6 linked regions of the Kluyveromyces lactis genome follow. The protein of the gene in region 1 purifies or fractionates together with the protein of each later gene. This does not show direct contact. Links are inferred from orthologs where the notes say so. Each region holds a gene or a part of one and is shown in the gene's direction. Other genes may lie near its edges. The genes, in order: RPB5, RTR1, TFG2, SPT4, IWR1 and SET2.

The links.
Region 2: the proteins of RPB5 (region 1) and RTR1 purify together in Saccharomyces cerevisiae (affinity purification with mass spectrometry; 3 studies listed by BioGRID). This does not show direct contact. The link is inferred for Kluyveromyces lactis from reciprocal best matches to the Saccharomyces cerevisiae genes RPB5 and RTR1.
Region 3: the proteins of RPB5 (region 1) and TFG2 purify together in Saccharomyces cerevisiae (affinity purification with mass spectrometry; 5 studies listed by BioGRID, with this or other methods). This does not show direct contact. The link is inferred for Kluyveromyces lactis from reciprocal best matches to the Saccharomyces cerevisiae genes RPB5 and TFG2.
Region 4: the proteins of RPB5 (region 1) and SPT4 purify together in Saccharomyces cerevisiae (affinity purification with mass spectrometry; 3 studies listed by BioGRID). This does not show direct contact. The link is inferred for Kluyveromyces lactis from reciprocal best matches to the Saccharomyces cerevisiae genes RPB5 and SPT4.
Region 5: the proteins of RPB5 (region 1) and IWR1 purify together in Saccharomyces cerevisiae (affinity purification with mass spectrometry; 4 studies listed by BioGRID). This does not show direct contact. The link is inferred for Kluyveromyces lactis from reciprocal best matches to the Saccharomyces cerevisiae genes RPB5 and IWR1.
Region 6: the proteins of RPB5 (region 1) and SET2 purify together in Saccharomyces cerevisiae (affinity purification with mass spectrometry; 3 studies listed by BioGRID). This does not show direct contact. The link is inferred for Kluyveromyces lactis from reciprocal best matches to the Saccharomyces cerevisiae genes RPB5 and SET2.

What each region holds. Positions count from the first base shown.
Region 1 is NC_006042.1:1,967,194-1,972,029, forward strand, and holds RPB5 (DNA-directed RNA polymerase core subunit RPB5), read left to right. Parts: upstream 1-2,384; coding exon 2,385-3,032; downstream 3,033-4,836. Other genes in the region: DUF1 (Duf1p), read left to right, coding at 1-1,843; RIB7 (2,5-diamino-6-(ribosylamino)-4(3H)-pyrimidinone 5'-phosphate reductase), read right to left, coding at 3,294-4,052; U4/U6-U5 snRNP complex subunit SPP381, read right to left, coding at 4,645-4,836. UniProt on the Saccharomyces cerevisiae protein: DNA-dependent RNA polymerases catalyze the transcription of DNA into RNA using the four ribonucleoside triphosphates as substrates.
Region 2 is NC_006042.1:1,171,594-1,176,290, forward strand, and holds RTR1 (RNA polymerase II subunit B1 CTD phosphatase RTR1), read left to right. Parts: upstream 1-2,470; coding exon 2,471-3,106; downstream 3,107-4,697. Other genes in the region: KLLA0_F12628g (NAD-dependent succinate-semialdehyde dehydrogenase), read right to left, coding at 1-317; EMP65 (Emp65p), read right to left, coding at 639-2,213; RRG1 (Rrg1p), read right to left, coding at 3,219-4,361. UniProt on the Saccharomyces cerevisiae protein: RNA polymerase II subunit B1 C-terminal domain (CTD) phosphatase that dephosphorylates 'Ser-5' of the CTD and regulates RNA polymerase II during the transition from 'Ser-5' to 'Ser-2' phosphorylation.
Region 3 is NC_006039.1:1,605,889-1,611,341, forward strand, and holds TFG2 (transcription factor IIF subunit TFG2), read left to right. Parts: upstream 1-2,833; coding exon 2,834-4,000; downstream 4,001-5,453. Other genes in the region: KLLA0_C18117g (uncharacterized protein), read left to right, coding at 1-124; ECT1 (ethanolamine-phosphate cytidylyltransferase), read right to left, coding at 305-1,231; KLLA0_C18161g (uncharacterized protein), read right to left, coding at 1,379-2,080; mRNA splicing protein PRP18, read right to left, coding at 2,122-2,580; RPL38 (60S ribosomal protein eL38), read left to right, coding at 4,654-4,890. UniProt on the Saccharomyces cerevisiae protein: TFIIF is a general transcription initiation factor that binds to RNA polymerase II.
Region 4 is NC_006038.1:703,572-708,105, forward strand, and holds SPT4 (transcription elongation factor SPT4), read left to right. Parts: upstream 1-2,984; coding exon 2,985-3,293; downstream 3,294-4,534. Other genes in the region: VHT1 (Vht1p), read left to right, coding at 211-2,007; glutathione-disulfide reductase GRX8, read right to left, coding at 2,090-2,425; membrane insertase COX18, read left to right, coding at 3,741-4,534.
Region 5 is NC_006041.1:813,861-819,277, reverse strand, and holds IWR1 (Iwr1p), read left to right. Parts: upstream 1-2,644; coding exon 2,645-3,772; downstream 3,773-5,417. Other genes in the region: ATG20 (Atg20p), read left to right, coding at 1-1,449; KLLA0_E09153g (short-chain dehydrogenase/reductase), read right to left, coding at 1,575-2,417; RPL9A (60S ribosomal protein uL6), read left to right, coding at 4,227-4,802; NUP84 (Nup84p), read right to left, coding at 4,935-5,417. UniProt on the Saccharomyces cerevisiae protein: Directs RNA polymerase II nuclear import. Binds RNA polymerase II in the active center cleft between the two largest subunits in the cytoplasm.
Region 6 is NC_006037.1:594,627-601,020, reverse strand, and holds SET2 (histone methyltransferase SET2), read left to right. Parts: upstream 1-2,902; coding exon 2,903-5,011; downstream 5,012-6,394. Other genes in the region: LST4 (Lst4p), read left to right, coding at 316-2,460; ASG7 (Asg7p), read left to right, coding at 5,457-6,149. UniProt on the Saccharomyces cerevisiae protein: Histone methyltransferase that trimethylates histone H3 'Lys-36' forming H3K36me3. Involved in transcription elongation as well as in transcription repression.

The sequences.
Region 1 (4,836 bases):
CAAGCCAAGCGATTGCGACACAAAAACAGGTGGCATTCTGGCAATGGCCATTATAGAAGATGTGTTGTGGTTCTCCAGATCAGGAAATTCGGATCTAAACAAGTTGAACTTGTTGAGTAAGAAGCTCACGGTTATAGAAGGTGGCCATGCACTAGTGCGGTGTTCTTTGTTGACAAACCGCAGACATGTCATCACGGAAAATACATCCGGTGAGTTGGAGAAGTGGGATATTGTTTCTTGTGAGCTGGTTGAAAAAATCAGCCGAGACGAAGGTAATTTCGATGAGGTGGTCAGAAAACTGAATCCCAAAGAAGTCTTACAGCACTGGTGCTCCGTTTCGATAAAACGAGGCATTCTTTTTGTAAAGATCAATGAACGTTTCCTGAATACCGAAGTATACGGAAGTGCCCTCACCGATTATGTAATAGTCAACGAGGATAAAGTTGACGAAATTAATTTGGACGAAAGATACAATTTGGGTCGTATAGCTGTCAATTCATTATTACATGGTTTTATTGATTATGAATTGGCGAAGGATAAGAAATTCAGAGAAGATATTTCTTCCACAAAGAAGCAAACTCCTCCATCTACTCCAAATCTATTAAGAAGACACAACTCAATGGCCTCTGACCATACGAACCCTGATCAACATAAAGACAACAAAAGTATCAAGGAGAAAAGACGATTATCTATATTTACCAAGTTCACTCAATCAAATAACACTACCCCGCAAAGTTCGGCCCCCAACACCCCCAATGGTATACCTGACGTCCCACATACATATCACGGCATAATCGAAGAAAGCGAAGATGAGATGGGAATGATGTTACCTGGCCCAGCAACTGCTCTACCTACTTCATCGAAACCGGCGAACCTCACTTTGACAAGGTCTGTTACTGAACAAAGTATCGAGAGATCTGCTACACCTTCAAGCACATTTGGTTTCCATAACAGATCATCGAGGGTAAAACTAGAAACTAACAGCATCGATGACCTTCATAGTATCTCTTCTACTGGGAATGGTGAAGTGAACTTCAAATTCAATTCAAAGAGTTTTTCCAAAGATCTGTCTGAACGAAAGCCAGGACTTTTCTTGAACGAATATATCGAAGAAGTTTATCACGCTTATTTGAAACAGGCTCCAAACTCCTCATCAACGTTCATGAAGTTTGGGAGGCGGATCCCCGAGACTTTGTTCATCAGAGACTCAACTAGACCCGTGATACAAATCAAGAGTGGATGCATTCTCACGGTCAACCATTGGAAAGAGGGGTCCACAGGGGAAACTATTGCATTTTCCACATATCTCCCACCCCCTACATATACGGCAAACGACTTGATCGATAACTACCATACTTATGAATCATTAGAAAGACATCTCCCGATATGGCTTGGAAAGATTCTTTTCAAAGAGGATAAAGTCATTAAGACGTACCCAAAAATCACATTCATCATCCAGCCTTGGAAGGACGAGGCTCATTTATCGGAGGAAACGCAACAATCGCCAGAGGCTGAAAGACTAGTAGTAGAACATAAAAGATCAGGGTTCCACAAAAAATCTAAACCACCTGAATCACCCTTAATGCTACCGAAGATTAACGATAGCAATGTTAGATTAACAGCTGCAAATATGATAAAGGCAAAAAAGATCAAGACTTACATAGTGGATAGATTCGAATCAAAGACACCTGAGATGAAAAACAAAGAAGATCCAAGCGAATGGTTAGAAATCTTGTGCAAAGGAACAGTACTAGAAAACGATATCACCCTGAGTGCTATACGCACTTTATACTGGAAATCAAACACAGACATTGTTCTTGAATATAGACGTAAACCGACTTAAAATTAAGAGAGACTGTGAGACTAAGTTCTCACCCAGGCTTATCAATATATATATATATAACTAAATATAGACATATATACAAACATAGAACTACACCTGCCGCCCTTGACTCAGAGCATTCCATACCAACACAAGACAGGCACGTGACTGAAATCATGAAGGACGAGTTTGATGGTTTGGCTCTGTTTCCTTCTTTCATCGCATTGAAATTTCGAAGGTTTGTTGAAGTTTTTCTTTTTCTTTTCAGCCAAAATTTTCCAAAATTTAGAAAGCGATGAGAAACAAATCCATTAATTTGTTGATTGAAATTTAAGAAAAGATTGAAGTTAGGTAGCCGAATAGTCCTTGTACCGGTTGAAATTAAGGGGTAAGATTAGTTTGCATATCGATAATTGAGTTCTTAGTACTTGTTTGTGCATATCGATAATTGAGTTCTTAGTACTTGTTTGTGCATTTTAGAATTTAATACGAACTAATCTTCAAGCGGAAAAAGTTAGTTTCATAAGATATCAAAGGCAAGTGACGCACAATTTTTGTAACAATGGATCAAGAGCAGGAGAGAAACATTTCCAGGCTATGGAGAGCTTTTAAAACGGTGAAGGAAATGGTTAGGGACCGTGGATATTTCATTACCCAGGAGGAAATAGATTTGAGTTTAGAAGATTTTAAGGCTAAATACTGTGATTCTATGGGCAAGCCACAACGTAAGATGATGTCTTTCCAGTCCAATCCAACCGAAGAATCAATAGAAAAATTTCCTGAGATGGGTTCATTATGGGTGGAATTCTGTGATGAAGCATCTGTTGGTGTGAAGACGATGAAGAATTTTGTGGTTCATATTACGGAAAAGAACTTCCAAACTGGTATATTCATCTATCAAAGTGGTATTACTCCAAGTGCAAACAAGATTTTACCAACTGCAGCACCAGCAGTCATCGAGACTTTCCCAGAAGCATCTTTGGTTGTCAATATTACACATCACGAACTAGTCCCAAAGCATATCAGGTTAAGTGAGGCTGAAAAGAAGGAATTATTAAAAAGATATAGATTAAAGGAATCTCAATTGCCTAGAATCCAAAGAATGGACCCAGTAGCATTATACCTTGGTTTGAAAAGAGGCGAGGTTATAAAAATTATTAGAAAGTCTGAAACTTCTGGACGTTACGCAAGTTACAGAATCTGTTTATAAGAGCAATTAAAAAGAGCCATTCCCCAACCCTAAGTAAAGTAAATGCGTGTGTATAATAATAGACCAAATTAGAGCAAGAGAAACTAATAGGGCCTTAAACACACTCTTCGTATGAGAACCCATCAGGGGATATCATAATCTAATTACGATTCTTTTTTCAATTATTTAAGGAAATGATTAATCACGTTTTGAACATAGCATGTCTGAATTAAGAGAGTTCATTGATATAAGAATTCGAATTTTTAGGAAAACAGGTAAAGATCAGGAATGGCTCACAAGACGTGAACATAACACGCTATCCCTTGTTCCCTTCCACCAGGAGATATCTTTCAAATTAATTTCAATAAGAGGAGACACTTCAACACCCTCACTACCCAAGAAGGTGGCACCAACGGTGATGACCAGGGCATCGATAAGGTGTGGTCTCTGTAGCAAATCATTGATAACAATCCCACCACCTTCAACCATGATGGATTTTAATCCGAATTGAGATTTCAATTGGATGAACAAATCGTGCCAGTCCACTTTACCTGTAAAATTAGTTTGCATCACTAAATAGTCAACGTTCTCTTCTACAACTTCTGGAAGCTTTTTCACGACTACAATTGGTGCTTTACCATCACCAGAATCAAACAAAGTTTTCATCTTGGAACCCTCAAACTTCCATTTCCCGTTTGGATCTAAAATTATGGGCCTTGGAGAATGTTCAGCAAAATGTTCTGGTTTTGGCTCATCATCTGGCCACCATTTACAGTTCAAACCGGGATCATCAACCAAGACAGTACCACAACCCAACATGATACCGTCAAACTTGTAACGGAGGTAATGGGTCATTGTATTAGTTTCTTGATGAGAGATAATAGTTCTAGTCCCTTTGATCTTCGCAATACGAGCATCCAACGATTGCGCATAAGTTAAAATAACGTACGGCTTTTCCTGTTCGCCCAAAACGCCAGCATTTTCCGGCATGTATGGTTCTAAGAAGGAAACCAACTCCTTTTTCAATGGTTGTATAGGCATGGCTTTTGTCGATGTATATAGCTGACGCGTTCAGTTGTGATTGGGCAGTGATGTTCCCAGTTCTTAAGCAGAAAATAAAAGAATGAAGTTTTTATCTTCTAAAACTTGAAGCCAATTTCGGGTTGTTTTAATACTCTTACACTGAAATATATCTATGAATTATGAAACTCTGTGTTGAGATAACACTTTTCCGGATAATTCAAAGTGATCTCAGTCCGATAAATTAAAACGAACTCTCAAAAGCTCTGAGTCAATATTATTTCAACAGCACAAATACTAGCACTCAGCCAACGTTGCCTTGCCAAAATAGATCACAGGTACTCGAAAACAACACGTTCCCGCTGAAGGGATCTTTCCGCAACTAAAAAAAAGAAACAACATTGTGGAAGTCACCTGTGTTAAACATACCAAACTAAAATCTTTTGAGGTACAGTCAGTTGCATGATTGTTCCTGTTCTGTTGTGGAATTCCTTCCATTGGTTATGTTCGATGATAATAAAAGAAAAAAAACATGACGCATCACGTGAGATACTTTTACAGCTATGTAGGAACGAAGGTTGGTATGTGAGTCAGTAGTAGCTCCAAAATGTTTCTACTCTTCTATGTATCCATATTCAGTGTCTTCAGTATCGTTATTGGTATGGGAGGATGCTAGTTGGAGTTGGCCTTTCTGCAAACGGGCAGGTATAGAGATATCTTTCTTTGAATTAACAGGATGTCTATTGCGTGATGATGCCTTCAAATCGAAGGAATTGAGGTTGGAATCATCGTTCAAGTCCAATTC
Region 2 (4,697 bases), about 800 kb from region 1:
AGATCCTGCTTGTTCTCTAGCATCAAGTTGTATATATTGTCCAAGATCTGCGCGCGCTCTCTGACGTTGGTCTGTCTGAACGTCCCGAATGCATCATGGGCAATTTCGATAGCCTTGTTAAAATCTGAAACACCGCAGTTCGTAACCTCACGGATCGTATCACCGGTGGAGGGATTGGTTACAGCAAACTTGTCGTCAGTTTCTGTCCATTTACCGTTGATAAAGGCCTTGGTTTGTATCAAATAATCGTTCTCAATTTTAGAAGACATCTTTCTTAATAGGTTTAGCGTTCTTAGGGTATTCGAGTTGCGGAACATCTTAACTCTTGGAAATAACACACTCAGCGACTTGACAATTTGTTAGCCATTAGGATCGCCGTTTATATACAAAGTTCTGCTCTTATTGCTTCATGCTTGCTCTTAATAGCAAAAAGTGCGTCATATTAAATGTTATATAATATCCATTATGTAGTGTAGAGATGATACACTATTTAAGGTTGGAAAGAGGAGACGGAGCCGAAGTTAACATCAGCATGCATCAAATTCTGATAATTCTTATTTAATCTTGCTATGCTCGGTCTATATATTGCTGTATAATCACTACATTTTGCTATGCCCTTTGCTTAAGGCACCTAAATATTACCAAATCCTCTTTGATACCATCTTGTATCTTTCAACGGACTCTAGCGATTTAGGATGCTTCAGATCTCTCTTGGTTCTTTGCTCGTTGAGGCTAGGTGGGATGCTTGCCTTCTTTTCAAAAGCAGCGAGTTTTGGCGATCCTGGTGGTGTAATTGTTGGTGAATAAGTTCTTGTCTGGCTAGAGTGTGTCATTTTGCGGGCATCCTCATCCATCATTCCTCTTCCAGCAGAGAGATGGCCATTGATATACAAAGGATCTGGGTGCAAGCTGGCTTGTTTGTTTTGGATATGTAACGTCCATCTCAACAGTATTGCTTGAAGTGTTAGCTTTGTGAGTAGAGCCCATAGGAATCCAAATATTATCAGAACAGTGGACCAGATGATATTATTCTTGATCGTTTGCCTGATGGCAGGCCATACCAGTACTAGGAAGGCTACTATTAGTGGCGGGAACGGCAAACCTAACCTCTTTTGGAATTGGATACTGTTGGATAGGTTGTCCTTGGAAAGAATTTGCAAATACCTTTCATAGATATGCGCTCTGATTCTGTTGAATTTGATAATATATGCGTGCTTGATCCAATCCACTATCAATTCACTTCCAATTACTGTGACAATCGGCCCTATAAATATACCAACTATCAAGGACTGTGTAGAATGAACATTCCATGAGTGTGGTAAAACATCGCGCAAGCTCTTTCTTGCTACGATAAAGTTTCTCACTGCAATGACCGTTAGAAATACGATCAACTGGAATCTTTCCACGACGTCAGCCATAGTCAATTGGAACAATCCTTCTTTATCAATTCTCTTGAAAACTGCAGATTTTAACTCTGAAAACTGCATTGACAACAGTAGCGTCCATAAGGAGTTAGAATACGAGTTTACCGCAACGTTCATGGCAAGAATCTGGTAGATGTATATCAACGCGTGGAAACTTAAACATAAACAACATGCAATATATAGCATTACCATCTCTGTCTTATGTTTGGCACTCTTCTTGAGCATGATAATTGAATATAGATCAAGGCCAACACTTGATAAGAGCTTTTCTGTCATCTCAAGAACCTGAAATATCATGTATAGTTTAATAGCATTTTGGCCCTTAATTTTATGATATATTCTTGAGGTGTCAAGGACATTCAATATCGAACAGGGTCCAAGAATCATCGCAGTAGTAAGAAGCTCTTGTCGTATTCTTTTAGGACCATCTCGTTTCACCACTAATACATGGAATACCCTAAGTGGTATAATGGTAAAGTAATACAAGAAGCAGTTCAAACAAGTCAATATCGCAAAGACAAAGAATTGCTCGACTTGGAATGGTACCCTCAGTATGTTCGCAATCTGCTCCAGATCATATTCAACAGACTTCTCACTCTGATCACATGGTTCCTCTTCGAATACCTTGGCTGTTTGGGGAAGAATCTCCTGGTATATAAAGTTCTTTATCGATGATGACACCGTATTCACGTCTTGTTCAACCGATACCCTTCTCCCAGCACCAGAACTGCTTTCCTTAGACCTCGCCTTTCGCCTTTTGAGGTGGGCTTCAGAATCCTGTGAACTCATTTGTTGAGGCACAACTGACCGGTTAGTGCTAAGGACCTTACTTCGTCATGGATATTTCTTTCTTCTGTTGTTGTTGTCTGCTCGAATTCGATCTACATTGAATTAAAATAAAGTCCTTGCTTAAATCACATCGAAGGGTTGATAGTGCCAAAGTAAAGAAGGTAAACTTAAGAAAAGCACATGAATAAGGGACCTCATACAGCTGCTTGACCAACTACGACCGTGAAATAATTTACCAAAATAATTAGACTATAGCAATGGCTACCATTGAAGAAATCAAAGAGGTTGTATTAAAACCCTATACAAACCATCGACAATTGACCATAAGGGAAGTGGAAACTATAAGTATCAATTTAATAGACTTATTGATTACAAAAGACGTGAAAGATGCAAGGACGATGAAATACATTTCAAGGTTCCTTACCAAACAGGATTATGCGGATCTAGTCCAAGAAAGGAACTTGGTGAAGCGTTGTGGATATCCACTCTGTAGCAAAAGCCAGGCGAGAGTACGTGATCCCTTCGCAGATGTACAGATGACCAATTTCTTAAGACAAAATAACCCATATGCATACCTTACAGAATACTGTACTAAGGCTCATTTTAGATGTTCACAGTTTTACCAGTTTCAGCTCTCAGACGAGGCTTTGTTTGCTAGGGTCGGTGTACATCTTGACGATTATGAGCCACCTAGTGAGATACAATTGCTCGAAGAAGTACTAGCTAGAGAGTCTGATGTTAAGCAGATGATTCGTGGTATGACTGATTTGAAACTCGCGGACGATGATAGTAGAGAGGAAATGGAAAGGGATATCAGTGACATGTTAGCTGATATTAAGATCGTAGAGATCAACGAGCCAAATATCATTGGAGATTTAGGACGAGATAGATGAAATGACAGAATGATGACAAGTACAAACATATTTGAGGTAGAGCATTTTGACTCTATAACTCAAAATATATGGACAATCCTGCATTATATAGTCATACATAAAATAGTTTTATTTACGATTTAACTTTCACTAATTGATCTGGTCTAAGGAACCTCCATTTAACAAGCAAAGCACCTAAATTTTTCTCTTCGGTAAATGGGTTTGTCGTTGGTAACTCTGCTTTCAAGCCCAAGAATCGTTCAAGCCTTTTTTTATAAAGTCTTTGGTTCAGTTGTTTATAATATTCATATTGTTTTCCGTCAATTAAGTGATCTCTACTTTCGGTGAATTTACGCTGTGTATTAGCATTTATCCGGTTGAGAATGTCCATATCTTCGAGGATTGGTTTTATCCAGTCGATGAACACTGCAGGGATGTCATTGGACTTACCACTCTTTATCTGTGTCACGACGTCATTGAATTTTCGTGAACATGGTTGTTTGTGAATCAATGTATATTCCCATTGTGCTTCTTGAAATGCATAGAAAAGTTTGGATTCACACTCCCTAAATCTATCGAGATTATCTTGAGCTCTAAGCCGTGCCTTAATTATGATTCCTGTCAATTTCTTAGACTGGCGTGCCTTCCTATTGAATGGAGATCGTATGAACCAAATTCGGGATTGGCCAGCGTTGGTGTAGTTAATAGAAACTTTAGGGGGGCCCTTGGCAATGCGGTACTCAATCCTGTACAAAATTTTACAGTATCTCTCGTGGATTGCAAGAGGTCTGAGTAGCTCGTCGATATGTTTACGAGGTATCGTTTTAGTCGGACCATATATTTTATAATATCTAAGAAGGTAGCGGTATAAATCACCATCACCAGGAATAGGTGCTAATCGCTTCTTTTTTTCCCTTCGACTCTCATCCCCCATATTTTCAGTTACCACCACACCAGAAATTGGTTTGTTCGCTTGCTGCAACGGTTCTGGAGCAGGCTCGATCTGCTCTGTGTATTTGTTCTTTAGAGCAACTAGCTTGATTATATCATCGCCGACAATATACTTATTCAGATGAGAGAGATCCTCCAATAATCCACGTACGTACCAGCCAGCTTTATGATTTCTGTTACGTCGTACTGCTTGTCTCAATGTGTTCCAAAGCTCAATCTGGAGATTATCAGTGGGTACGTTGGCCCTAATGTTTCGTAATGAATATCTGTACCATTCCAATACGTGTTTCCTATGACTTCCTATCTCTCCAAATGGTCGTACCATTGATATAATTCTGCTTTGTAGAGCTTCATCAATTTGATAAGATTGAGTAGGATGTACCTTGAATTCTTCCTGTTTTCAACTACTCATCTATTCATGTCATCGCATCTCATCTCATCTTGACAATAGTCATAAACTTTGAAAACATACAGATCAGCGTGCTATACATGCTTCGTATGGTGCCGTGTGAGACGTCATTTTACAGCAAAGTGGTTTCGTGGTCTAGTCGGTTATGGCATCTGCTTAACACGCAGAACGTCCCCAGTTCGATCCTGGGCGAAATCATTTTCTTTTTAATTTTTTTTTTTTGCCTCCTGTGTACTTTAAGCAACAAATCAG
Region 3 (5,453 bases), on another chromosome or scaffold:
AGACGGTTATGGTAAAGGTAATTGGGGTAAAGCAGGGGACGAGATAGAAGATTTGATCGATATGGGTGAGATTAAACCTGCTTTCAACAAACAACGCAGAGGTTCTAACTCTCAGAAACGGTAGAGAGTTATGTTATGATCACTCTCGTCTCCATTTACTCGGTGGTGCCGTGTAATTGATAGACTTTTTTCATGTTTTTAGATGATTTGAGAAGCTGGTTTTGGGTTGTTACGACTGATGAGACAAGGCGACTCTGGAAGTTGCCTGCTGCTGCCTTTTGTTCATTCGTTCTTCCTATATATGCTAGTTCTCATACGTAATGCCCTTTTTTATATTTCTTTCAATATAATGATCCCTATCGTGATTAATTCTTTGTATGATGTTGTCTTTGAGAGATGTGGTGATAGTTTTGGCAGTCGTTGTGTCACGTGACACAGGATAAAGAAGCACACCGTCCACCACGTTGCAGCTAAGCACGCTTAAAGTCCTCTCCTCCAATGTCATGAACACGTCTTTGTCGGTATACATGCTGCAGCACACTCTTTTGCCTGCTTCTTTCCATTTCTGTAACTCTTGGATATGTCCCACATTGAACAGATCAAACCCATCTGGTTCCTCTACTACAACCCAATTCTGATCAGAGACACTGCCAGTTCCTTCTACTATCACATCCTCGAAATTTTGGCCAAATACCCAACTCCAGGGCTCGTATCCTGACTTATCTGTACTGTACATGGTCAGCAACTCACGATCGACACTTGCTTTTTGCTGGTTTGTCTGGGGGACATTCCTCAGTATTCTATCAATGATCTCGGTGGTACTTACACCCTCGGTACGTTTCACCACTTTGAAACGGCCGTTGTCCTTCATCTGCTGGTAACAATCTTCACCGTTTGCATCCGTGGTTATATCGTCCCCATGAACAACGTATTTACAACCGTACGAATCAAGAACCTCGGGTTCTGTCACGTAAGGTGCGTCTTTCACCACTTGGTCGCACCATTTGTTGCTCTCTGTATGGTAATACCGTTCTTGTTCGTGAATGACAGGCTTACCACCCTTGTGATGTTCGATATCTGCGTCGTTGTGAACTCCGCAGATGAGAAGTGATCCATCACGTTGATCTTTTGGAATCGTTCTTCTTGCCTGAAGAATGGCTCCAGAATGACCGTGGTGTGTGAAATCAAAACACCCATCGATCCATACCCTATTTTCATACAATTCAACCATGGCTTGAGGTTTAGCGGGGAGCAATGGCTTTAACTCTTTACCTTATATGAGGTTTGCCTGTAGTTGTCTTCAATTTCATATGCGTTATCATTTTCTTTTATATAGAAATACACACTGTTAAACGGATTGTCCCAAGCACAAAGGTTTTTATACCTGATGGTGGACTGCTTGGGCTGGGACTTGTGGGTTCGCAGCCATTGGCATCGGTTGGAACCCAACCGGTGCACTTTGTGTTGGGTTCTGCTGTAGATACCTCTGCCACGAATCCTTACATACGTAATTGTACACCATTGCGACATTTCTAGTAGAACATGCGTTCATCCAGGTCAAAAACGTGCCAATTATCGGGGGTAACGTTATTAATAGATCAAACACTATGTTTGCATGCATCTTCACCAACAGATCGTTGGGCAAATTGTACCGTTTCCTTGCGTATTCCACCGTAGAGCTGTGTACCCAGTACATTAAGATCGGTCCGATCACAGGAAGCAACGAAAGTACCGTGGCCCAACCGATGCCCCAATCAATCCAGATACATCCACACCCGAGGAAGCATCGGTCGTCGTACCATGCTCGGTTCTGTAACCGTTTCCATGTCTTGGTTTCCTGTTTCGTGCAATATGCAGGCAACTTCCTTCGAACCCTTTTCCCATTACTTAGTTCCGAATAGAATGGATCCTTCACCGGTTGAAACTTTGATCCCATGAAATCATCATACTTTTCCATACCATAGTCCTGAGCACTAGACTCAGCCATACTAGTGACTACACCACCCATCTTCTCGTCGCTTGATTGCCCTTTACCGCTTCCTTTTTTTGTTTCTGTTCCAGTTCCGAGGTTATGTAACATGTAGCCATCAGAGTGGTTTGAAATTAATTCTATATTTAAAATCATGCGGTTCTTCGCTGTGAAGATGTCCATTGCTTGAAATTGACAAGCCGTTTGATGTTGACGCACCAGTCATCAAGAACCATGTTCTCTTGTGTTTGTGCCTTGCTGCCTTGCAACTGCTGTTTCCTCTCGTGTATACCAACGTTGGTTAACCCGATCGGAAACTTCCCTTTACCTATACTTAAAGTAAGGTATTCTTGCTTTGCTCGCACGTAATCTTCATCTACAATGGCATCTAATACTCTTGCCAGTTGGGATAATTGCAATTGACCGAGCTCCTGTTTCCTTAATGCCACTAGAAGTGGGAACAATGCCACCTTAACCCGTTTCAAAGGCACGACAGTATATTCAGATTCTTGGGTTTCCCATTCTTTAAGTATCTCGTGTATATACTCATTGCAGCTCTCGTTCAACGGTTTCTGTTGACTGTTGTACCTTTCCTCGACTGCATGACTCATGACGCCTGCTTTGATGAACGTAAATACACCGTAGGCAGAGGTGCCAATCCACTTGGTTAGTTTCTGTTTATTTTATCGTTGATGGCTAGCTGTTTTTGTCAGTTTTAAAGATTTATCGAATTGATAATTGAAACAACTTTAACAACTTAAAGCCACAACAGGAAGGCGGAAGGAAGACAAAAGCAAGCAGAGAATCCGGATAGAGGTACCTGTTAGGTCTCATATATCCAAGCCAATAGTTAAAAATCTAATCATGTCTGAATCCAGTGGTAAAGATTTGGTGGAAGAAGTCGGTGAAGAGGCGTTCGATGGTAACGATATTGAGAACAATGAGAAAAAGGTTTATGAGGAATCGTTAGACTTGGATCTATCCAACGCCAGGAAGAAGATTTGGCTTGTACGTCTGCCTAAGTTCTTAGCTGAAAATTGGAGAAACCGTACTGCATTGCATGGACAAGAATTGGGTAAAGTTAGGATTAATAATGCGGACCATTCGATCCAGTTGTTGTTGAATGAGGATGAGGACAACAAGGACATACCGCACAAATATGACTTAGAGTTGACCAAGAAAGAAGTCACGAACGAGTACGTATTCACTGAACAAAATTTGAAGAAATATCAGCAGTTTGCCAAGGAATTGGAGTCGAACCCCGAGTTGCAAAGACAGGCATACATAAGGAAACAAGAAAGAGAGGAAGAGATGAAGAAAAAACAGCAGCAGATGAAGCGTAAGTACAACAAGAGAAGGTTTCAGCACCGTGTCATGACGGATAGGGACGGTAGAGATAGATACATCCCGTACGTGAAGACTATTCCGAAGAAAACTGCAGTGACGGGGAAAGTGTACCACGAATGTCAAGTGATGCCCTCGATAGACGATCCAAATTACCATACAATTGTGGAACATAGAAGACAAATCGTTAGAAACATCCACAAACCAACGGTTACGGTGCTTGACCAAACTCCTGGTGTCACTATGAGTAACGCCGGTATGTCGATGAGATCCGACACTTCCAAGTTCTTAAAAGTTGGAAAGGAAAAGAAGAACAACGCAAGGGCTATCCGTTTGCCAAAGAAGGAACTTTTGGATCTATTGTTCAAGTTGTTTGATGAATACGATTATTGGTCCTTGAAAGGTTTGAAGGAGAGAACAAGACAACCAGAAGCATATTTAAAGGAATCGCTAGATCAAGTTGCTATGCTTGTGAAAAAGGGTCCGTATGCCTTGAAATATACTTTAAAATCGGAATATAAAAAGTTGAAGGAAGCTGAAAGAGCTGCTACGCTTGGTGAATTGGCACAACACGCTGATCCAGAACAACAGCAGCAGATTCAAGACCAATTTGATCAACAACAACAACAGGAGAACGAGCAAGAGGAGGAAGACTTGGAAGACGTGGAAATGGAGGATGTGTTGTAGAACCCTTCAAACATAGTATATATATATATATATATATATATATATACACATAATCATGCCCCACCGGTTATCTAGTAAATGAATGGATATCTTATTCATGATGCTGGCATGTCTAGTCCTGTGATGTATTCTTGTGACCTGAACCAATAGTAGGATTAAAGAATTCAAATCACGTGATTAACAAAGGACTGTCCATTGTTAAAATAACACCCATACACTCCAAACACTGAAAAATAAAAACCCACACATCCGGATACAAAACGAGAAAATTCTCAATTGGGTAGTATAATACTCAAAGAAACCCAAAAAATCTCTAAAAGCCAACCTCCTGACACCCACACACCATCAACTAAACTTTTCACCAATCTCATCGACTGTGCTCATTGAGTATTGTGCAATTGGCAAGCCAGTAAACGTTTAGTTTCGAACAACTTTCGACAGTTTTAACGTTTTAGATTTTAACATTTGTCGTTAATAGTGGTGTTTTGTATATGTCCATTTAGTGTTTTTTTGATGTTTAGCGTTTTTTACATTGTATTATCGGTTCTTGTTTAGTATTCTTTATAACTTTTAATTACAGTTTATTAACTCTTTTGTCTTAATAGTTTCTGTGAATCTCCAAGCATCAACAACTAGGAAGTACATTAACAAAAATGGCTAAGGAAATCGCTGATATTAAGGAATTCTTGGAATTGATCAGAAGACAAGATGTCAACTCTGCTACCGTCAAGATCAACAAGAAGTTGAACAAGAACGGTAAGGCTTTCAGACAAACCAAGTTCAAGCTAAGAGGTTCCAGATACTTGTACACCTTGATTGTTAACGATGCTGGTAAGGCCAAGAAATTGTTGCAATCTTTGCCACCAACTTTCAACGTTAACAAGTTGTAAGGGTAGTCTAGAGAGACACTAATACTTTCTTTAATACCATATCAACTGTTTTTTTTGGAAATTCCACCAATCGTCTGTTTCAACCCATGGTGTGGGGTAAGTACTCTTATTGAATTGAATTTAAATTGAATTTGAATTGATTTAATTACCAGCACTTTGTACTGGCAATTTTTACCTGAGGAACGAACCATCCAGATTGAAATGAACAAACTCGTCAAATAAGTTATAATAAACGCATACTTTTTATCTGCATTCTTTCATTGATGAGACGATAAGATTACTACTCTAATGATGATAATACAGCTTGTATTAAGCGTCCAGTGGTAGGTTTTTTTTACCTGTGTTAATTGTCTTTGCGAGCTTTTAAAGTTTTATTTTGGGCTTCACAAGGAAAAATGACTGAGGTTATACACAGTATGAATTTTCCCTGGTATTATTAGTACAAGCTCTGTTATATCGTCATTATCACTGCATGATTATTATCTCATCTATTTTTTTTATTTGTTTTTGGTATATATGAGTATATAGGTGTGCTTTAAGCACGCTATTCGATACGAGTTGGA
Region 4 (4,534 bases), on another chromosome or scaffold:
GATCAAAGTGTGGGGGTGAAAAATTGGGATTGTGTAGTTGAACTAACGTTGAAAAGTTTATATAAAGAGGATAGAATCTTCTGAAATAGTTATTCAAGTGTCCTCATCTTCATCTCTATATCTAGTTCTCTTTTATCAATCACTCATTCACTCTGAATTATAGTAATCACTGCAAAGCAAAAGATATAGTCCCACTACACCGAAATTACCATGGGTCTAGGCAATTGGAGAAAGTATTTCCCACATGAGAGGATCGTCAAGGAATATTCTTCAGAAGTTGATGTATCTGCTGAAGATTATAGCGAAGTGAGTTCTAATGAGCAAGGAACGGAGAAGAAGCTTTCTCAGGACCATGAAATCACCAAACGTGTTTCCGTGGTTACCGAGGAAGGTACGTTGAGAACTGATGTACCATATGAGTTGAGAGATGAAGCAGACAGGAAATGGTGGAAATTCTTCGATGAGTTTGAGTACAGGGCCAATAAAGAATACAAGAAGTCAAGAAACTGGTACAGTTTCATGTATCCAAACCATACCACGCAAACCAAAGCAGAAAGGACTCTATTGTACAAGTTGGATCTTATGATCGGTTTGTACTTCTTGATGCTTTGTTGGAGTAAATCTTTGAACACCAATAACTATACTAGTGCATATGTGTCCCATATGAGAGAGGATTTGAATATGAAGGGTAACGATTATATTAACACTTCTGTTATCAGTAACGTTGGTGCCATTGTCTTCCAATTGCCATTCATGTACGTGTTACCTAGATTCCCAGCTCATATTATTTTGCCTATTATGGACATGGGTTGGACTTGGTTCACATTTGCTTGCTTTAGAGCAAACAACTTGGCTTCATTGAGAGCTTACCGTTTCCTATTGAGTGCTTTTGGTGCTGCTTACTACCCTGTTTCTCAATACGTCTTAGGTTCCTGGTACGCCCCAGATGAAATCTCTTCTAGAGTGTGTCTTTTCTTCTTTGGTCAATTGTTAGGTGGTGTGACATCCGGTCTATTACAGGCCAGAATTTTCAAAAGTTTGAACGGTGTTTTGGGCCATGCAGGTTGGAGATGGATGTTCTTGATTGATTCTATGGCAATTTCATTGCCAACTGCTTTCATTGGATTCTTTGTTATTCCAGGCATCCCATCTAAATGTTACTCTTTGTTCTTGACCGATGAAGAAATCGTCATTGCTAGACGTAGGAATTTAAGAAACCAAATTAAAGATGGTGTTCAAAAGTCCCAATTGCCATCTTTGCTGTCCTTAAAGTTATGGAAAAAAGTGTTTTGCACTCCGACTTTTTGGGTTCTAGTTGTGTTCGATACTTGTTCTTGGAATAATATGACAGCCTTCAGTGGTTCTTACACATTGTGGTTAGATTCTATTCCATCTTACAGCACTGTACAAGTTAATAACCTTTCTGTCCTACCGGCATGTCTAGGTTTCGCTTTCGTCGCTATCTGTGCCTTTGGTGCTGATTTCTTCCGTTGTAAATGGTTCTTCATGGTCTTTGCAGCTATGATGAACTGCATCTCCTGTGCTATCCTAATTAAATGGGATGTGTCTTCTGGTGCCAAATGGTTTGCTTTCTTGATGACTTATTGGTCTGTGGCTCCATCCCCATGTCTATGGTCATTCATCAATGATTTCTTAAGATTCGATCCGCAAGTTAAAGCCATTACTTGGATTGCGATTTATTCCATCTCACAATCCACTTATGCATGGATTCCTTCTCTAGCCTGGAAAACTGAACAATCCCCAAGATTCAAAGTCGGTTATACAGTCTCACTTGTCTTCGGTGCTATTTATGGTCTATGGACATTCGTCGTGTTGTACTTCTACAAGAGACAAGAACGTAGACATGCATTGGACAACGGTATCATCTTGTACAACTCCAAGATGAGTGAACCAATACCTAGTTTCGTTGAATCTGAATTAGTTAAAGAGGGAGAGTACTATTATTTAAAGAGCGAAACTAATGAACCTGAACGTGTATATAACTAATCTAAACGGAAGAGCACTAGTAACCACATACTTCATTCCTCTCCCTCGTATATAATAATAGATATTATTCTCTTCTAATATTCTAATCTACCAGTCCGATCTTCTGTAACTCTTCTTTCAAAGTACCATTCCTTTCAAATCTCGCTAACTCTGATTCAGTACCCCAAACCTTACCATCAACGTACAAAGTTGGCAAGTTTCTTGAGCCAGTGGCCTTTTGAAATGCATCTCTGATTTCATTCCATTCGGATCTACTGTTAGTCACTTCAGCAATATCATAATTGAAGATCTTGTCCGTAACGCCGAATTTCTTCCATATGGAATTGGAATATACACAATCAGGACACCATCCCGCACTCAATTGAACAAACTTGTGAGAAGAAACTACTTCACGGGCGATAGCAATATACTTAGACATCCTCTGTAAATTGACTAGTTCTTTCCTGATGATATGAGAATTACTTTACCGAGAATAAGCTACATTCTGTTCACATTTGGGGGATGACCCTCATCTTATATAACAGAAAGGTTGAAATCTTCAAGTTTCTTTTGAAAATCTGACCTTTAAATATTCATTAAGACCATCCACAGTTTTTCCGTGCTGAAACTCCGCCATTCCCACAGAAAAGACACCGTTGATGCCACTAAGAATTGAAATACGGTAGTATGTCTCTAACGCGTGCGAACAGTTGCATCTAGTAAAGGGTATAACATGATGTAGTTTCGTTCCCTGTATGTGGCATTTTACTCTGTTTGGGGTATTATACAGATTTGTTGTTACCCTGATTATGATCTTTATCAACGAGCATCGATTCTCAGTTTTCCAATTTGAAAAAGCTGTAAGCATCAAGCTACATACTCACATTAGGTAAGTTAATGCGATCTTTTATGGGTAAGAACCAGTTCATACGTTGTGATTAGAGCTGGAATCAAAGCCTCAATATATATAAGAACATATCATCGAAAAGAGTGGGGAAATGTCAACGGACAGAGCTTGTATGTTATGTGGACTGGTGCAATCGACTGCTGAATTCAATAGGAATGGGTGCCCGAACTGTCAATCGATCTTTGAAGAGGCAGGTGTTTCGGCTGTTGAATGTACTTCCCCATCTTTTGAAGGTTTGGTTGGTATGTGTAAACCTAGCAGGTCGTGGGTAGCGAGATGGATGAGTATTGACAGTTATATTCCAGGAATGTACGCTGTCAAAATTGATGGTCGTTTACCAATAGAGGTAACGGAACTTTTGCCTCACTATAAACCGAGAGATGGAAGTCAAGTTGATTAATTTTAAGCACTTGTTAAGCACTTGTCTGTTTTAGTTTTTTTATGTTGAAATCGTCATGGGGCCGTTTTGGTGCCCCCATTTATTAATTTCCTCTTGCATCCTATAAGGTGGCTCCCTTATTACATGTATATTTATCCTTCGAAATATATCAAATGTTCTGTACTATATCTATTAAACCAAAAAAAAAGTTGAATTGAAAAGCGCAATCGCTGTATCAATCTATCTATATCTATGTTACCGAATATCTAAAGGATCTGGCGTAAAATTGGTGGTTGTACCCCATGTCCACTATGATTTTTGATCATTTCAACATTTTTTGTCATTTCAAAGATCATCCATTAAACTACAATTTTCTATCAAATGCAGTACATCTTTGCTCGCCTTGAAAGGTGAAGTAAAGAGTCCAGATTGAGATTGGATCGGTATCTTGGGGGTTTTACATCAACTATGTTACTTCGAAGATTACCTGCCGTACATTTTGCGAAGGGTTCGAGACAATTTGGATCATTGCAAGCTATTGCTGATAGTTTTGTACAGTTACACGATGCCTCTGGAGTACCATGGTTAGTACTCATACCAACTGCCACTTTTGCATTGAGAACGGTGTTCACTTTACCACTAAGTATATGGCAAAGGAAACGTATAGTGAAGCAGCAAGAGCTTCGGAAAGTTGTGCAAAGTGTTCCCCCTGTGGTGAAGCTAAGATTGGCTTCGATGACTGCGAAGGCTAATGACGAAGAATTGACAAGTTCTGGTAGTGCAATACAAACTAAAGAGGAAACGGTCGGAGCGCTTCAAAGAGGAAAAAGGCAGTTAACGCCAGATCAAATAACGATGTTATCGTTGAAAGAAATGCGTAAGAGACAAAAAGTTTTATTCAAAAAATACAACGTACAGATGTGGAAGAATAGTGTTCTACCGTTAGTTCAAGTCCCTCTATGGGTGACTATGTCAATGGGGCTTAGGAAGCTTACTGATAGTAGGTTAGTGGACACAAATATGCCTCACGCACATGTATTACAAGATCTTTCAGAGACAAGTTGGTTAACTCATATAGGTTCTTTAGACCTAAGTTTGCCCTTGGACGCAGCACCAATGCTAATACCCATCATTTTAGGAACCGTTTCGATGATCAATGTTGAGTATAACGGTAAGACGATGCAAGCAACTGCAGTAGGAACTTCTGGCATTACCACTGCTACTGACACACAATCGAGAACGTCACAGACGGTAAACAGTAT
Region 5 (5,417 bases), on another chromosome or scaffold:
AGCGGGATGACAAAAGAAGGTAAGAAAAGGGCCCAAATACTCGAGGCAAGTAAAGTATCCGAAGGACAGGGAAGAACATATATCGCTTACGCTATCAAATATGGTGATTCAATTGTGAAGCGGCGTTACAGCGATTTTGAGAGTTTGCGGAAAGTGTTAGTTAAGTTATTTCCAATAAGTTTGATCCCGCCAATTCCTGAAAAGCAATCACTCAAGAGTTACGGAAAAGCAATGACATATTCTAAATCAAGTTACCTATTACCAACGGAAAGCGGAGACTCAGTAGATCTTTCGCTATCAGTAATTAACGGACCGGTTACCACGAATGATGAGAAGCTCATACGGCACAGAATCAGGATGCTTACAAGTTTCTTGAACAGACTCTTGAAAAACCAGGAAATAACAAAGACTTCTATCGTGTACGACTTTTTGGATCCGAACAATAAAAATTGGAACGATCTAATCACAAGCTCTCTTACTATCTCATCATTACCGAAAAGTGTTCTTCAGTGCAATCCAATAGACCCTACAAACACTACAAAAGCACATTCATATTTGCCAGTACCGTCATCATCAACACAACTGCTGGCATCAAAGGACAATCATTCAGCTTCGGACGCTGATGAGTTCACTAAAATTGAAGCGGAATTCAAAAATTACGAACAATTGATACATTCTGGTTTGTATAAATACTCAAGAGCTACTACCAAGGAGGTGAACTATTTACGGGAAGATTTGAAAGGAATCAGCTCTGAGTTTGCACAATTGTCAACTGACGAAACAAAGAACGAGAGTGGACTAGCAGAATTACTTTCACACTCCAGTGATGCATATGGGACTCTGCAAGAAATTCTGGAAACTCTTGTCGGAAATTTGCATTACAACATTAATGAGCCTCTTAGTGAATGTGCCCACATGGCCACTGCTGTGCGGGATTTAATTCATTATAGAAGGTTAAAGTTGATCCAAAAAGATATCTTAGAAAGGACAATACTTTACAAGCGAGGTCAACTCATCAAGTTCCAACAGCAAGAAAACGACCACAAGCAAATAGACAATATGGTAAAGGAAGAGCTTGGTACAAATGGAGCAGTGAATCTAGAAAACCCTGCAGGACCACAAAGCTACTCTGGAAAATTCATAAATAAGTTTACCCAACTTGCAATCATAATTAAGGACTCTGTCAGTTATCAGGAACAAGATCCTGCAGCAGCTGCAAGATCCTTAGAGAAAGAGTTGATACAACTAGATGAAACATTGAAAGTTGCTACTAGTGATCTCGTCGTTATTTCTGAAACTCTAAAGAATACTGAATTACCAAACTTCATTAAAGAACGTGACGAAGAATTGACTCAAATCTTTAAGAATTATGCGAAATATATGAAGGAGAATGCCACTAGAAATCTTGAAATATGGAAAGAGCTACATAATCGCATTCAGGAAGCATAATCAGCTTTTGAATTAACAGATTTTTTTGAATATATACATTTTACATATATGAATTCCACCCTCCCGCGTTTAGATTCTCAACAAGAGCGGCATTAAGGAACGGATATTCATAAACGGCAAAAGTTTTATAGGAAGGGGGATAAATATTTGAACATCTGATACCATTGCCAATCCAATTCTCTTAGAGCTAATTTGAAATTCGTCCTCATCGAGTATCCCTGAACACCTTGTCTATTATGAAAGATAGCACTGAAAACAGTTTTAGCCGTCGTCATATCCTGGTGCGGTTTAGAATTAAGAGCTTTACCAAAAATCAAAAGTAAGCAGCGAACTCGGCCGTTGCTGATCAAAAAATTCTTCTTATATTGCTCTTTCAACGTCTGTTCAATCAGTTGGAGTAATTGAAACTTCGTTGCTTGTATGGCACCATAAGAAGACTTATTTTCCGTAGTGTATAAGCCTTCCGTTGAAGCAATGTCAATTATATAACCGCGATCGTACGCTATCATTTTAGGTAAAATATGCTGAATAATATGCATGCTGCCCGCATACACTGTTCTCATTAACTTTCTCAAACTCACACCTTTCCCCACTTCGGCGTCAGTAAAACTTTTCAAGGAAACCGCATTGATAAATACAGTGATTTGACCAAATCTTACTGAGATATCATCCAAGATTAATCTTGTATATTCAAAGTCAGAAATATCGCACTTGTAAAATGACACTCGATGAGGTTCAATAAGATTTAATGGGTATCTTTTATCAATGAGAATAGTCTTATAGCCCAAGGAATCAAACATTGTAACGAGATGTGACCCAATACCTCTCGAGCCCCCAGCAACTACAACAATGTCCTTTTGTGGACACAATGGTATACCCACAAAAGAGGTAACTAAATCTTCAAGAACTCTAACATATTGAGTACCTTTTTGATCCAACGCAAAATAGTTTAAGCTATTCCAAAACATAGCTACAATCAGAGACCCTTTCTCTGATAAAAACTATTCTATACTATGACCAATGAAAGTTATACCAACTCTAATTGCCATCGTTTTCTTTACTGTCACTAATTGACGTTCTTAGCGTCAATTTTCCAACTTTCTTCATGTTTTGCTCAGAATCATTTTGTCTAGGAAAACCAAATTTACCTTTTCAACTTAGAATAAGAATCATTTGATCCAAGACCAATGGATTAATGAGGGAATCACATAGCAGAAACGACTCTGTTCTACCTACAGAAGCAAATATATCTGACATGAGTAAAAGCATATCTGGCGTGGAGTACATCAGAGTGAAAAGACGTCGGGATGAGGATTCCGTACAGGCTTTGCTCTTAGAAGAGGAGAGAAACGCAAAAAAAGGGAAGTTCGTGTTCAAGCTATCTAAGACTGTAGAGCTTGAGACTCCCGATGTTAACAGTCCACTATTGAAATTGAGTAATGAGAACAATGATAAAAAAATGGTTTACGTTCTTGAAAGGGAACGGGAGCGCCAGGCAGCGTCAGAATTGCAAGAAGAGCTACCGGATAGCATTGCGGAAATGCTAAATGACTATCTTAAGATAAAGGAGAAGGACTCACCAGAGCACAAGAAACGCAAGGCAAGTCGAAAACATTCAAAATCATATACAGCTCCGATCTTGCCTCCTACAGATTACGTTTACGATGTGTATGTGAAACAAACCATACCAGAAGATGAGGAGGAGTTCGTTTTCGATAAGAGTACTATCGGATACATCAGAATCGTTGAGCATAATGGGGACATGATCCCAGAAGAAGAAGTAGATCCAGAGAAAACAATGTTGACTGACGATGAGGATTCAAATGAGGAAGATTATTATCAGAACGATTATCCGGAAGATGAAGACGATGACAGATCAATTTTTATTGGAAGTGACGAAGATAGGACGGATTCAGAAGATATAGTATACCTTGACGAATTAAATGATGAACTGGATCAAAATTATAATGTGGACGGTGAGCAGGCTAACGAAACCACCAATGATAATGGTGATGAGTTTGATGCATTATTTCAAAATTACGGAGAATCTTCCAATCTTTTGAGCTCGTTGAATGCCAATAATTACGTCGACTTTGACTACGACGACGATGACCATGCCGATAGTGATAATGACAACGGTAAATACGACGGTGACTTTGTCAATTTGAAGCCAGAGGCTGATGACGATCACGATACTGGAATGGACGTAGATGATCAGACATTCAAGAGAAATTACTTCTTCCCAACTGACAAAGACGATGAAGATGCTATACACAGAGATCGTATATTCGGCAAGCTGCAAAAGATGATAGATAAAGTGTGATTAATTTGGTCGTTTTGGATGTCTGACACAATTCCCTTGTTGTGAGTCAGATATTCTTTGGGATGGGGAATGGATCATTGAAAAACTGCGGGACTGTTATTCTATTATGTACAGGTGTTCCAAAGAGGAATTTTTGCGGTTTTTTTTTTTTTGAGATGAGAACTACAACCGCTAGGTTCCACAGAAAAAGTCGTTGATACTGTGAAATGTCTGGGTGTTTGGTGAAAAATTTCTGAAGTCTCATTTCCTGCGTCTGCAAGATTGACCAACTTTCACCAATTGCAAAGCTCTAGGTTAACAAAGATGATGTGCAAGCATTCCCAGTTATACTTGGCTCCTGCATTGTTTGTTGAAACAGGCGTTAATTACAGTATTACAGTATTACAGTTGAGTGCATTTGCTTTGTTTTGGTTTTGGTTTTCAGATAGGCTGTGAGCGAATACAACAAGACAAGATGAAGTACATTCAAACTGACCAAGTCCTAGATGTCCCAGAAGGTGTTACCGTCCAAATCAGATCCAGAAACATCAAGGTTACTGGTCCAAGAGGTGTTTTGACTAAGAACTTGAAGCACATCGATGTTACCTTCACCAAGGTCTCTAACAGACAAATCAAGATCACCGTTCACAACGGTGACAGAAAGCACGTTGCTGCTTTGAGAACTGTCAAGTCTTTGATTTCCAACTTGATCACTGGTGTTACCAAGGGTTACAAGTACAAGTTGAGATACGTTTACGCGCATTTCCCAATCAACGTTAACGTCATTGAAAAGGACGGTGCTAAGTTCATCGAAATCAGAAACTTCTTGGGTGACAAGAAGGTCAGAGAAGTTCCAGTCAGAGATGGTGTTTCTGTTGACTTCTCCACCAACCAAAAGGACGAAATTGTCTTGTCTGGTAACTCCGTCGAAAACGTTTCCCAAAACGCTGCTGACATCCAACAAATCTGTCGTGTCAGAAACAAGGATATCCGTAAGTTCTTGGATGGTATCTACGTTTCCGAAAAGGGTCTAATCGAGGAAGAAGAATAAACTAATCTCAATTACAATTAATTAATGTCGTTGCTATTATTTTTTTTCGATTGGTTTCGCTTACATATATGTTTATATATACATAATTAATATTATATGTACTGCTTAAAAACTCCAACTTCTGTTTCTAAGTTACCTTCCAAATAATGCGGATGCCTTTGCAACCATCTGTAGATATGTAGTAAGTTTGCCGTTACTTTGGAATAACAGATATATCTTATCAGTTTCGTTGGCAACCAAAATGGAGAGGTCAATGGCTTCTTGAACGAATGTAGATACCTTCAAGTTCTCCGATGCGGAAATCAAATTGTTGTGCAACTCCATAATCAAAAATGGAGTGTATAAGGCCCGTATTTCATACAGAACGTCTGAATCATTCACTTCTTCATTGTCTATCAGGTCTACCAAAAATGTCGTTACTAACTTTATGATTGTGTTCGAGAAACCTTTGAATTGCTTAATTAGGGATCGCAAGTTCGACTCGGTATTGAAAAGTTGCGATGATTTTACCCACTCTTCTTGCTTTTTGAAGGTAGATAATAACGATGTATATTGTAAGAGTTCCGTAGTTTTCAAATCATGATCCTCTTCCTGTGAAGATAGCCTTTCTAACTG
Region 6 (6,394 bases), on another chromosome or scaffold:
TCTATCAAATTCTTGTAATGTTCCCTTACTTTTGACACTATTCACTTTATGATATTTTTGGTAGAGATCATCACTCTAAGAAAACGAGACTTTTTTGATCAAATTAGCATATATGGGAAATGTAATGATACATGTAGACAAAAGTAAGTAGAAACGGTAAGGTCTTTGGAGAGGTTTAAGGGTGAATTGTATTGCCCGTTGTAATACCGGTTTCTAGAGGATATTCCTGTTGTCTTTTCGGAAAGATTCGGTGACATTTCAGTAACAATATCTGCCCCGTTGCAAAGGATTTGAGATAACTAAAAGGGACTTACCATGCTTGGACGTCTCTTAAGGACATCTTCGTTAAGCGAGTTTGTACCATTTGGCAGCAGCAATGTTACTGTTGGGGAAGAAGTGTTTCAAAATGAGCCGTTTTACATGACGGATGATTTGAAGACTTTGTTGTACGGAACAAGAGATAAAGCATTGTTTGAACGGATAGCGAACGATAGGTTACACAATGGTGGATTTCGGTTGATAATATCGCAGGAATTGGGACATGTAACTAGTCGTAACAATTATCAGGTTGTCTTGGACCATAGTTCAGTAAATTTCCATACAGGGGCGCATATCCCACTAAATGAGCTTAAGGATTATATATTTGGGTCATCGATAAGAACGATTGACTATTCTGCGTCGAGCGACAAGATCAAAGTCGTTAAGAGTGCAAACATTGTTCTATTCACGAGGATTTTCTATTTAAATGAGAAATCGACGTTGAGAATCGCTATAAGTTGTTGTGTCACCGACGACGTTCTGCCCGTGTTGACTGAATGTTGGCCTCATATATCGTCGTTCTTGGATCAATGTGAGAATACGTTGTTGAAATATCTAGCGAAGAATGACACACAATTCTTACCCCATGATTGGAAAGCCAGAAACTGTATCGAGGTTGCTGCCGTCTTACAAACTTTCCAACGTAAAATTATACCGTTATTATCCGGGTATTCTGATACCCCACGATTATTCCTTTACCCTATGGATTCAATACCTTACATCAAGACATGGGTGAAATATGTAACCAATTGGATTGAATTGAAGGATGGACCCAGAGTTCGTTTTTTACCTATTTTGCTGGCAAAACTACGGTATGATTTCGCTTCGCTTTTGAAGGAAAACTCGAATACAAGAATCGTTATACTTACCGGTAATATGAACGTTGCCAACAGGCTCATATTTATCCTTACTGCATTCCTTGGTCCACATTTCCGTGGGACTTTACATAAAAGCATCAATTCCCAAGGTTGTCCATCTCCGGCTGGGCGTAAAATGTCAAACATGAGTGGGGCTTCCGATTTCCCATTCGAATTGAAACCTTCAAACAGCAGCATAACAGAAACCAATAAAGGTTGGGAGATACCAAGAATCAAAAGAGACCCGACATTTAGCGTTACCAGCGTTTCTTCCGATGAAACAGGGGTACAAACTTTCATTCAACCTTCATCGCTGAAAAGTGGAGCCTCTTCGGTCCAATACCTATCATCATCGTTAAATAGTGCATACGGCAGTTATGGATCTTGGTTCAAGAAAGTCGCACAATCACCGTCATCCAGATCCAACGAATCCTCGCATGAAGTACCTCCAATTTTGCACCGCAACAGCAGTAGTACCTCCTTCCATCAACAAGCAGTGCTGGGCAACATCAACGGTTCACAACGTGTAACACCTCAGCCATCACCTACCATTGCAGAATATGAAGAATACCCATGGTTTTCCCCGTCACCAATTGCAAGGGATCAGCCAAGACCAGAGAAAAGAATACCCACACCAATATCTTCTTACACCACAGAAAAGGAAAGAAGAACGCATTTACAGTCTGAAATATACGACGTTGACATGAAACGAACCGTGAATCGACTCATCGACGAGGACTCTTTAAACGACGCATTCGCAGATCTAGTAATAGATCCACCAAGCTATGACACAACGGTCTCGAACGAAAAGCATGGCGAAATTGTAGAAGTTAATATGGCTTCTCCCAGAAAACAGCGCAATAATCAAAATCAAGAACTATTACGAAGGTTCACGTCCTACACTCCACACTACAACCAATGGTTCCAACTACAAGCGTGCCAGATCACCACAGAATCCGAAAACAAGGTGATCCATTCGATGAAGAGAGATTTAACGTACGCAGATCAAGATCCATGCAAAAAAGATAAATCCACATCAACGTTACTCATCTCGCTCAGATCAAGAGAGATCAAACAAGTCACTATCGTGAGAGACACAAATAACAGATTCATACAGAGAACAAAGAAGATATTGCAAAATGGGAAAGTGGGTCCCGTCTCGAGGGCAATGCTCTCAGGCATAGAAACGACAGACCAGCATTTAAAGAAACTCATGGAATGCAATAACGACAACGAGGCATTAGTTTCCCTCTTCAACGATATAGTAACGTGTGCCTCAACATAGGTTTAGAGAGTTTGGATCACGTGTCACGTCACTATATACGTTGTGATGAAAATCAAGCTTTCAAGGCTACCCAAAATTTTTGAGAAAGCTAATGGTTCGGGTCTCTGATGCCCTATAAAGCTTTATTCAGTTGGAAAATGTTGATTAATCACTAGGTTTATATGTATTAGATTGCTGTTTTTGGTTGTCAGATCTTTTGAGAATTGTTCAGTCGGGGGACTTAGGCTTTAGGCAGGGATAAAATCTACAGTGCTGTTTTGTTGTAGCATAGTATATAGAATTGGAAAAAAAAATTAAAGCATACTTGGGGAAGACAAGGAACGAAAGATAGAGAATAGAACATTGGTGTGATTATTTGATCTAATATAACATCTTCAGAAGGGCTATCACTCATATTAAGTTCTGTGTGATTATCAATTGTATTTTTTTGTTTGTTAATATTATGACGGAAAGCGGTAATGGAATTGTTAATACGAGGCAACCGAAGTTGTTTCTCGATGTTCCGGATATGACTTCTGAAGCAAAGAAAACGTACGCTGAGCTGGATGTATGTACGTATACGCCTAAAAACTTGGGTGATTCTAAGCATGAGTTTATGGAATGTGACTGTTTTGAGGAATTTCGGGACGGTTTAAACCATGCGTGCGGTGAGGATTCTGATTGTATAAATAGAGCCACTTTAATTGAGTGTGTGAACGGTCTTTGCAAACACTCGTGCGGTACTGACTGTCAGAACCAAAGATTCCAGAAGAAAGCGTATGCAGATATATCTGTTTTCAAGACGGAGCGGAAAGGTTTCGGCGTCCGTGCCAATTCTGATATTGAACCACACAACTTTATTTATGAATATATTGGAGAAGTAATACAGGAGGAAGAGTTTCGTAACCGGATGGTGAAATATGACCAAATGGGATTTAAGCACTTCTACTTTATGATGTTGCAGACCGGACAGTTCATTGATGCTACGCTAAAGGGGTGTATTGCCAGATTCTGCAACCATTCTTGTAATCCTAATGCATACGTTAATAAATGGGTAGTTAACGGGAAATTAAAGATGGGTATTTTTGCCAACAGACACATCAGCAAGGGAGAAGAAGTGACGTTTGATTACAACGTTGATAGGTACGGTGCCAATGCACAGCCATGTTACTGCGAGGAACCAAACTGTATTGGATTCCTTGGTGGTAAGACTCAAACTGACGCGGCATCGCTATTGCCTCAAAGTTTTGCAGATGCCTTAGGTATAAGGCCGTCCATGGAGAAAAAATGGATCAATATGATGAAGGCCAAGGGTGAGAAAATAGCTAAAAGTGACACCACAACGGTTAACGTCGACTTCGTTAATTCTTTATCACTAGAACCCTGTACGAAGACTGAAGATGTTAATCGTGTGATGAGTGTATTATTACAGATAGATGACGCCTTCATTGCAGAAAAGCTACTTGAAAGGATCACTTTGACTGAAGATGAAGCAATGCATTATCAGTTCATCAAATTGCATGGTTACTTGATCTTTAGTAGACTTATCACAATGTTTGAAGATAAGCCAGACATTATATGGAAGATTTTAAACTTCTTGTTAGTTTTACCCAAGACAACTAAAAATGGTATAATTCATTCTGGAATTGATAAGAAGGTCGAACAATTAAAGAATACTCCTAAATTTGAAGTGATATGTGAAGATCTATTAGAGAAATGGTCCAAATATGAAACTTACACCAGAATCTCCAAGAAAGATATTTCAGAAAATAGCAAAGTTATAGATTTACGGCGGATACGTTTACCTATCGGTTGGGAAATCATTCATGAGAATGGCAGACCAGTGTATTATAATGCTCAAAGGCAGATCAAACAAGCCAATCCTCCAACTGATTCTGCTTATAGATCGAACTCAAGCCATAACCTTTCTGGAGTTTCTGATCCTAAATCGAGATCAGCAACACCTTCTTCAAATACCAGTCGGTATAGTGGGTCTGTTAAGTACATACCCACGCCTACTTATGGCCAGATGCAGCAGAAAAGAACGCTATCTCCAGAAGAATACGAGAAAAGGAAAAAATCGAGAATCGAGTGGGAACAAAAGGAGTTAGAACTAAGGAAATTAATGGAGCAAGAGACTTTAAAAGCAAAATTGGATCAAGAAACCCAAAAGAAGAGCGAATTGGAGAGAATCATCGAGGAGGCCAATAAACAGAAAGAACTTGAAAGGCTTCAGAAATTGAAACAGCAACAAGAGGATGAAGAAAGGAAAAAAGTAAAGAAACAAGCTAGTCATGTCAATGCTATCGAAAATAAATGGGTCAAGTTCTTCGCTCAACATGTTCCAAACTTAATTAAAAATTACCAAAAGGACGTGGGCAAAGATGTTCTCAAGGAATCTGCTAGAAACATTGTCAAGTCTCTTGCCCAAAAGGAATTGAAGAAAGACAGTTCTAGATCACCACCTGAAGAACTCTCTAAAGAGAAAAGAGCTAAAGTTAAAACGTTTTCGATGCAGTATATGGATCGATTGGTTGCCAAGATGAAAGAAAAGAAAGAGAAGAAACGTTGATATCAAGTAACATTGCAAACACTTTTGTATCAATTCCATGTCATACGTTACATGATAGAAACTTTCAAAGGCCAAGAAGTCAGAAGAAAGGGGGGCAGTCCTCTCATAGCACAGGCTACCGTACCCCTTATGCGCATGTATATAGTTTGATTCGTCCCTGAAAGCGCCGTATGTTATCGAGTTTCTTGTCTTTGTAATTTCCATAATAGGAAGATTCTTTGACAATTATCAACTTGACACATGAAGGTTTAAAGAAAAAACATGGACGTCGAAAGAGAGTTATTTTACAACGCGCTGGAAACCCAAGTATATAAGCTGCCGGTAAGCCAATGTAATCTTGAGATGATTTCGTTAAGATATCACTATTTAAATGCATATCTAAACGTCTCTCTGCCGTGTTAAATTTAAATTTAGGCAGTAATAAAATTCATACTATTCGGACAATATGAGTACTTTTGGTTCGACTTTTTATGATTCTGTAGCAAAGAACTACATATGTGAATGTGGAAGTTGCAAGATAGGAAAAAATGTAGAATTTTACATGGTTCGTTTCTTCATCATGGGTTTTGTTTTACCCGTGCTATGGATCCTTAACTTAATGTTGTACCTTTATGCCAACTGGATAATCGACCACAATGTTAGGGTCCCGGAACTTGACTCTGAAACCTTATATACCGAATATGAATGCCAACAATGGAAACAGCGCAGTGTCACATCACTAAACAAAAGTATTACCAAGGACTTCTACGCTATTAACAACCCATTGACATTTTCCATGCTTACTTTAAAACTACCAGATCCCGTACCATTGACTACGTATCAACATCTCTCTTTGCCTGATCCAACGAAGGGCAGTGATGAAAAAAACCAGTTTTCGGAAAGCGCTACTACCCTGGACGAGGGTGCAACAGACTCCTCATCATTTGAGACGGAAGACGGTGGTACCAAATCCATAGTGACAGCTCAGTGTCTAAAAGAAATCGCTTCTGAACTAATGAAAAATCATGACGTTAATGCAAGAACTATCAGGAACTGGTTTCTGCGTAGCTTATGTGCAATGACAGGGTACACAATATCCATTATAATGATAGTAGTTATCGTTAAGACTAACAGCCAACCGGCATCGTACCGAGAATGAACATATGCATTACTCGTCCGCATTATACAAAAGAAAAAAGAAACTTACAGCATATCAAACGCTTATGAGGGCAAGCTAACGACCGCTGCACGCGCATAGCCCTGATGGAAGGTTGCTAGTTCTGCTTCTCTTTTTTACTCCTATAATTCTTCGTACTAAAAGAAACACATTTTTTCGCTCTCGAGAGAAAAGGGCTTTGCATGAAAAAAAAGGCTGCCGTTGAGAATTGCCGGCATCTATTAATA